2 linked regions of the Callithrix jacchus genome follow. The protein of the gene in region 2 interacts with the protein of the main gene of each other region in a pairwise test. Links are inferred from orthologs where the notes say so. Each region holds a gene or a part of one and is shown on either strand. Other genes may lie near its edges.

The links.
Region 1: the proteins of MYBPC3 (region 2) and ACTC1 interact in a two-hybrid assay, tested with the Homo sapiens proteins (2 studies listed by IntAct). The link is inferred for Callithrix jacchus from reciprocal best matches to the Homo sapiens genes MYBPC3 and ACTC1.

What each region holds. Positions count from the first base shown.
Region 1 is NC_133509.1:52,108,282-52,112,483, forward strand, and holds the start of ACTC1 (actin, alpha cardiac muscle 1), read left to right. Parts: upstream 1-1,390; 5' UTR 1,391-1,451; intron 1,452-2,090; 5' UTR 2,091-2,112; coding exon 2,113-2,241; intron 2,242-3,346; coding exon 3,347-3,671; intron 3,672-4,202. UniProt on the Homo sapiens protein: Actins are highly conserved proteins that are involved in various types of cell motility and are ubiquitously expressed in all eukaryotic cells.
Region 2 is NC_133511.1:112,407,827-112,411,962, reverse strand, and holds the start of MYBPC3 (myosin-binding protein C, cardiac-type), read left to right. Parts: upstream 1-1,299; 5' UTR 1,300-1,354; coding exon 1,355-1,379; intron 1,380-2,498; coding exon 2,499-2,765; intron 2,766-3,417; coding exon 3,418-3,531; intron 3,532-3,900; coding exon 3,901-3,999; intron 4,000-4,087; coding exon 4,088-4,136. UniProt on the Homo sapiens protein: Thick filament-associated protein located in the crossbridge region of vertebrate striated muscle a bands. In vitro it binds MHC, F-actin and native thin filaments, and modifies the activity of actin-activated myosin ATPase.

The sequences.
Region 1 (4,202 bases), on a different chromosome or scaffold from region 2:
TTTTTAACTGGTGTGAACTGGAGGAAAAACACGAGCATTAAAAATCAAAGCACCAGGAAAGAACCGAGAATGCAGGGCACCCCAGGGCAAACTGGTCTGTGTCCTTCTGTCTCCGTCTTCCTTCCCCCCTCCTCATTTCAGGTCATTTTTCTTTTTCCTTCTCAGAAGTTCAAGATCTTGCAAAAAATGTTTTCCACAAAAGAGATGATATCTGTCATTTACATCAATGCTTCTCACACTTCAATGTACATACCAAGCAAATGAGGATCTTGCTGAAAAGTGGATTAGGATGGTGCCTGAGACTTTGCATTTCTAGTTCATTCCCAGGTTATGACAATACTGCTCGTTCACAGACTGCGCTTTGAGTAGCAAGGATTGGTGTATTCTTATAGTTTAAGTTGCTGCTATGTTCTCCATCAAAGTATTTGCCTTTTCAGTCCTGTCGCCACCTGGAATGAAGTTGTCTGCCCCAGTCATCTCCCCACCATTAGGCGGGCAAGCTACTTTCTGCTTTTGTTCCTTTATTCACTTTGGCAGCAGGGGATCCTTTTCTGGCTTGAAGACCAGAGTCTGAGTTTGAGCAAAACCCCCGCAGCATGGATGAGGACTACCCAATCAATAATTAGGCTGGAGTAAACCTGGTCCTTTCTCCAGCAAGACTTGGCCAAGCTCTCACAGCAACCCTTTTCTGTCTCTTCCCCGGCTAGACCTGATCCATGTGTGATTTGGAATTAGGTGGCCTTGGTTAATCTCAGTTTTCTGACCTAGATGAGCCCAGCCCCAGCTCTCTGAGTAAAGCTATCCAGGCTGCTGGGGACTAGACCAGAAGGGTGCCCTGTCCCGCTTGCCCCTTTTCCAGACACTCAGATGTGCTGTTGTGGTGTCCTTTGTGCTCATGGCAGCCCTGGAAGAGGAGAAGCCGGTGTCGCTCCCCTGCTGCCCTGGCCAGCTGTCGGGACCCCTCAGCAGAGGGCAGGGCGCCAAGCCCCCCCACTTGCATGTGGCCTATTGTCCCCAAGATTGGTGGGGCTGTGAGGACAGAATCCACAGCCCATTCAGGGAGAACACCCACCCCAGAAACAGGGAGGAGTGGGCTGGCGTCACTTAGTCTTCCCCTGCCCCCTACCCTTCACCTCCTGCCCCTCCCCAGCTCCCTATTTGGCCATCCCCCTGGCTGCCCCCTCCCCTTCCTTACATGGTCTGGGGGCCCCACTGGCTGATCCTCTCCCCTGCACTTGGCTCCAAGAATGGCCTCGGTAGTCCTAGCGAGTGCAAAGGCGACCAAATAAGGCAAGGTGGCAGACCGGGCCCCCCACCCCTGCCCCCGGCTGCTCCAACTGACCCTGTCCATCAGCGTGCTATAAAGCGGCCGTCTTGGAGCCCGCCACCCAGCGCCCGCCACCCAGCACCCGCCGCCCCGAGCCAAGCCTACCCGACCCGCCCAGCGGACGGTGAGTCAGAGCCCGGGCCCTGTGCGCTCCCTCCTGTCTCGGTCCGCAGGCCTTGCCAGACATCAGCCCCAACCCCGCGCCGCGGCATGGCCCGCCCTCGGCCGAGGCCCCGACTCCTGCCGCTCTGCAACTGCTTTTTTCCCCCTACACTTTTCGATTTGGTTCTAAATTGTTTCTCCTGGGCGTCGGTCCTCGCAGGACCCAGCAGGGGCTCTAAGAAGGGGAATTCTGTGGCTCCCTAAGGGGCGTTTGGGTCCCAACTCTCGTGCGCTCTCCCCTCCATCTGTGGCACAGGCAGGGCGGGATGGACAGGGCTGGAGGTCGAGTTCCCAGTTTGTGAAAAGGAAGAAAAAACAGCTGGGGAGGACTAAGGAACTGGGTTTCCTGGGTCCTCCTTGCACCTGGTGCCCTAGGTGAGACTCCTGGCCAGAGAGCCTGGATGGATTGCCCCCTCCCGTCTCCTCCGCGGCTTCTCTCCCTTTTATGACTTGAGGGGAAGAGAAGTGGCAGGAATCTCCCCTGCCCACGCCCCTATCCAGTCCCCGCATCCCCGCTCTGCTCTGTCCCCTTCTCTGGGTGCGGAGAAAGCCAGCTGCACAGGCAGCTGAGCTGGCCCACCCTCCCCTCCTCAACCTGCAGAACCTCCTGAAGCTGTGCCAAGATGTGTGACGACGAGGAGACCACCGCCCTGGTGTGCGACAACGGCTCTGGGCTGGTGAAGGCCGGCTTTGCGGGCGATGACGCTCCCCGCGCGGTCTTCCCATCCATCGTGGGCCGCCCGCGGCACCAGGTAAACTTCCTGCCAAGCCCCTAGTCCTACTCGATACCCCTTCCTGCCAACTCCTCTGTCCAGCCATCTAAGAAATGGCTCTCGCTTGACCCACTTGTGGTGTGAACTCTTTAGGTCAAATTAAGGAAAGGCTGATTCACTTCAAATCCAAGAGAAGGCAAGCAATACCCCATCAAACCCCAACATACTGAGAAATGTACATCTGAGTGGCAGGCCTCTCAAAGGGTCCCACTCGCTGGTGTGAACGCCACCAGCTTCTTTCCATTCATGGCCTTTTGGACTTTTAGTCCTTAGGGTCTTCTCTGCCTTATACACTTCACTGTCTTCCTTGTCTTCCCTTTTCAGCCCTGTTTAAATTTCTAACAATATAACCTCTCCCAACCAATCACATTCCTCTCTCCTGTTCACAGCCAGTTTACAGGGCTTCCCAAAGGTGAAATCTATCTCCTTCCTGGCTGTGGCATTTTTAGAAGCCAGGCGTGACAGAGGCAGCAAGTGCCATGGTGATAGTGACATGCCACCTCGTTTATTAAAAGAAATGCCATGCTCTCTGGATTTGTCACATGCCTGGTCAGGCAGGCTGCCAAGGAGGAGACCTTAGTCCTCAGAGCTGGTGAATGACTCCAGGACAGCTCTGGACAGGCTCAATTTCAGTTAAAGTGAAGATGGCATATCAGCCCATCATTATGTGTTCACTTGAATGTCAAAATCTTTTCTTAGGAGAAATACAATGTGTCATTAATTCAGTCATTCCAAAATGCAGTCATCTATATTCCCTTTGACATGGGTGATGAGCTTAATAATTTAATGAAGGCATATGATATTTTTAAGGTGAGGTAAGGCTCTGCTTCTTCAGTGAAAAAGCTTCATTCTCTCCTGAGTTATATTCTCAACAATAGAATTATACATCTTTGGGGGAGTGGTGGGAAGGTGGAAGATTGATTTTTAAATAATTCTTCTAAATTGGGATAAAATCCTATTGCTTATTATTTCTGGCATTTAAATATGTTCCTTGAATTGGTCACTTAGATATAAATGGACAAGACACTGATTATATTCCTGACATGGTGGGAGCATGATTTTCTCTTATTTTTTCTTCTCATAGGGAGTTATGGTTGGTATGGGTCAGAAGGACTCCTATGTAGGTGATGAAGCCCAGAGCAAGCGAGGCATCCTGACCCTGAAGTACCCCATCGAGCACGGTATCATCACCAACTGGGATGACATGGAGAAGATCTGGCACCACACCTTCTACAACGAGCTCCGTGTGGCTCCTGAGGAGCACCCTACCCTGCTCACAGAGGCCCCACTGAACCCCAAGGCCAACCGGGAGAAGATGACCCAGATCATGTTTGAGACCTTCAATGTCCCTGCCATGTACGTGGCCATCCAGGCAGTGCTATCCCTGTATGCTTCTGGCCGTACCACAGGTACGCTTGGGCTCTGGGGACAGTTACTGATGAATCATATTCCTAAGTCACCAACCTTGCTGTGAAATCAGATTCCCCAGATTGAAAAAAGGATAATCCCTTTCCTCCCATTTCCTAGCAAGGTCTCTGTACTAAAAGTGAGGTGGCAATAGTGCCCTGAGGTTAATTCCAGAGCACACGTATTGTTGGAGCTGATAAACTGTGGAGTTAGGTCCTTCCCTTATTTAAAGCTCAGCACAATGTAGCAACTTGGAGTGCAGCAGTCCTTGGGATGTGTTTAAACCATCATATCACCTGGGTAAGCATCCTCAAGGAGAGTACATTCCCTACAGGGCCTGAGTCAAAAGAGAGGGAAACGCATAAGTCCAGTAAAAACAGAGAAAAACACACTTGGGTGTTTACATAATGTGCTCAGGGCTGATAAGAAGGATGGTCATATGAAAGTGTCCTCAGGAAATTTTTTTCCTACTGTAATAGTTGAAAGGATGAGCTGCAGTTTGTTTCAGATTTAGTGTGCACGATGCTCATTTT
Region 2 (4,136 bases):
AAGTAGCTGTGACAACAAGTGTGCGTCACATGCCTGGCTGATTTGTGTATTTTTGGTAGAGGTGGGGTTTCACCATGTTGCCCAGGCTGGTCTTGAACTCCTGAACATAAGTGATCTGCCTGCCTCGGCCTCCCAGTGTACTGAGATTACAAATGTGAACCATTTCGCCCAGCCCATTTTTATTTTATTATTATTTTTTGAGACACAGTCTTACTCCATTATCCAGGCTGCAGTGCAGTGGTATGATTTTGGCTCACTGCAGCCTCGAACTCCCTGGACTCAAGCCATCCTCCCACCTCAGCCTCCTACATAGCTGGTACTACAGGTGCACACCACCACACCTGACTAATTTCTGTGTGTGTATTTATTTTATTTTAATTTAATTTTTTGAGATGGAGTCTCACACCGTTGCCCAGGCTGGAGTGCAGTGGCATGATCTTGGTTCAGTGCAACCTCTGCCTCCCGGGCTCAAGGGGTTCTCCTGCCTCAGTCTCCTGAGTAGTTGGGATTATAGGTACGCACCACCATGCCCGGCTAATGTTTGTATTTTTAGTAGAGACGGGGTTTCACCATGTTGACCAGGGTGGTCCTGAACTCCTGACCTCGTGATCCGCCCGATCTGCCGATTACAGGCGTGGGCCACCGCGCTTGGCCTTTATTTTTTTAGTAGAGATGGGGTTTTGCCATGTTGCCCAGGCCGATCTCAAAAACTTGGCCTCAATCCACCTGCCTGGCTTCCAAAAGTGCTGGAATTGCAGGCATGAGCCACCCTACCCAGCCTAGCATTTTAAAAATGATAAACCCACTTCATAGGTTGACAATCCTGTGCAGTGGGTGCTGCTGTTACCTGCCCTGCTTTACAGATGAGGAAACCAGGTGCTTTGAGATAGAAGAGATGGCAGTGCCAGGACTCAGGGGCAGCCTGGCCCCAGGGTCTGTGGATGTGGCCACTGCCTTAACCGCTGGCAAGGATGCTGCTGACCCATCAGCCTCAGGGTTATGGGCCAAGCATGCTCCCACCGTACAATATGCTGTGAGCAGGACACACACAAGGCTTGGGGTACCCCCGAGGTTCATCAAGGGTTGGGGAGGCAGAAGCCCTTCTATTGTGCTTCGGGAGTAGGGGGGGGGAAGGAACAAGAGCCAGCCAGGGACAGCGTGGCCCTACCATCTCCCTGGAGAGACCTCAGCTCTCTGGAATTCATCTATATTTAGCAGGTGGCTGGACAAGAGGCAGATAAGCAGTGCCTGGGGAGGGGGGAGGTCTCCATATATAGTGGGAAGGACAGGACCCCACTCACTCCCTCTTAGGGTGGCCTGTGCCTGCTTGGTGCCTGGTGTGACGTCTCTCAGGATGCCTGAGCCGGGGAAGAAGCCAGGTAGCTCCGGGCCTGCGGTTGGGTCTAAGTGTGGGAGCAGGGGGTGTCTACAATTGGGGAGCAGGGCTAGGAGGGAGTTCTTGAGGGAGCTGAAGAAGACATGGCCACTGAGCCCCAGGATGGGTCAGCCAGTCCTCCTAGGTCCTTTTTTGATTCTCAGTTTCTTTCTCCCATCCCTCTGATGAGAGGTGAAGGTAAACCCAGGGTCAGGGACGCAGAGAGGGGACACAGCCAAGATAGGAAGCAGCCGGGTCAACTCAGAACTCAAAGGGACACCATCCCTGCCCCATTTCCTTCTCCTTCCACAGCAGGGATCCCCGCAGACAGAGCTCACAATTATGCGGAGCACAGCCAGGCTCACGCGGTGCCCTCAGACGAGTCTCCACCCACTCTGGGACTTAGTCTCCCAACCTGGGGACTGGGGCGGGTGTGGTGGTGGGTTGGTTCCTCCTGGTTGTGACATTATCTGCTTCATGAGCCTGTATGGTGTGGTCCCCATGTTGGGGGTGATACAGTCCCTCTTCTCTGAAAGAGGACAGTCAGGAGCCCCTGAACTCAGGCCAAGGGCAGGGAAAATCACAGCCCAGGGTCCTGGGCCTGGGCCGTGCCCTTACCAAGGTTGTCCAGGGCAGAGATCCAGGTCCCCATTCCCCAGTGCCCTCCCAGGCCAGCTTTATCTCAGTTGCTGATTCTCAGCCTGAGGTCCCTGGAGGACAAATTTGGCCACATTCCAAAAAGGCAGAGTTCCCTGCCCCCGCCAAGGGCCCCAGATGGTGGGGGAGGGGAGCTGGGCTCCTCACAGCTATCTCCAAGCTGGGAGAGTGGCATATCCAGGGGACACACACAGCACAAAAGTCTTGTGTGGAGGTCAGGACCACCGCCCTGGCTCTCCTGACTATAGGCTGTGTGATCTTGGAGGAGCCACTTAGCTTCTCTGAGCCTCAGTGTCCTCCTCTGAGAAATGACAGAGTAACTGCACCTACCTCGTAATAATACTATAGGAGTATTACACGAGGGGATGCATGGTAACTGCTTATCACAGTATTTACTAAAAGGGGCTGCAGGGGTGGGGTGCACGCCCCAGCTAGGGGCTGCTGTAGCCTCCATCTGGCCCTTCAGTCTCAGCTTTCAGCAAGAAGCCACGGTCAGTGGAAGTGGCAGCAGGTGGCCCTGCCGTGTTCGAGGCCGAGACAGAGCGGGCAGGAGTGAAGGTGCGCTGGCAGCACAGAGGCAGCGACATCAGTGCCAGTGACAAGTACATCCTGGCTGCAGAGGGCACACGACACACACTGACAGTGCGGGAGGTGGGACCTGCTGACCAAGGGGCCTACGCAGTCATTGCTGGCTCCTCCAAGGTCAAGTTCGAACTCAAGGTCATAGAAGCAGGTAAGATCCTGGTCAGCCTTCCCTGAGGTTCAGGCTTCTGGGGGGAGGGGCAGTGAGGTGCTTCTTCATCCATCCAGGGAACGGGAGGTGCTTTCACAATTTCTTGCCTTTGCTGTGGCTGTGCCCCCACACCCCCCACCAGGAACGCCCTTTCCCCTTTTCTGCACATGACCTCTCTAAGTACCCCCATATGCCACCCTGGCCTCCTAGCCATGCTGGAGGTGGGAGAGGTGAACAAGACTCAACCCCACCCTCCCCCTGCAGACCTCCCTGGGGAGATGACCAGGCACAGATGACACCTTGTGTGCCAGCAGGGAAGCCCTGCCGGAGGTGTGGGTGACAAGGCACACAGCCCAGTCTGAGGGGCTGCTCCAAGGCTGGGGCAGAGCTAGGGCAGGAATGGACCTGGAGCTGTTAGGGGCAGGTGCAGCGGATGTGGGGACTGATGGCTGGGGGCAGGGAGGAGAATGTGAGAGTCAGGCTGGCTCTCCAGCTCAGTATGCGCTGCCTCTGAGGGGCCCGGGCACTGGGGGTCAGACAGGACGGACTTTCCTCGTTCACAGCAGGCTCAGGGGTCCAATGCTCGGGAGAGAGAGTGTAGAGGGGTCTCTGGTTAGTGACTACACCACAACTCCCATCCAATCCCCTCCAGAGAAGGCAGAGGCCATGCTGGCCCCTGCCCCTTCCCCTGCTGAGGGCACTCAAGCCCCTGGAGAAGCCCCGGCCCCAGCTGCTGAGCTGGGAGGAAGTGCCCCAAGTCCTGAAGGTGAGAGGGGCAGGGAGGGGCAGAATCTGTGGGGAGGGGGTGTCTGGGGCAGGTCTCAAAAGCCTTTGCTTGACCAGGTAAGGTGGCTCAGGCTTATAATCCCAGTACTTTGGAGGCCAAGGTGGGTGGATCACTTGAGGTCAGGAGTTTGAGATCAGCCTGGCCAACATGGTGAAACCCCATCTCTACCAAAAAATTAGCTGGGCATGGTGGCACATGCCTGTAACCACAGCTCAGGAGGCTGAGGTAGGAGAATCGCTTGAACCTGGGAGGTGGAGGTTGAAGTGAGCTGAGACTGAGCCATTGCACTCCAGCTTGGGGGATAGAGTGAGATTCCGTCTCAAGAAAAAACAAAGCCTTTGCTCGCAGGGTCAAGCTCAGCAGCTCCCAGCGGCACCACCCCTGAAGCCCCCGATGACCCCATTGGACTTTTCGTGATGCGGCCACAGGATGGCGAGGTGACTGTGGGTGAGTGTGAGTTGCTGTGCCCAGCAGGGGATGGGAAGGGGGGCAGCAGGACACTCCCCAAGCCAGGCCTGTCACCCTGCCCTCGCAGGTGGCAGTATCACCTTCTCAGCCCGAGTGGCTGGGGCCAGCCTCCTGAA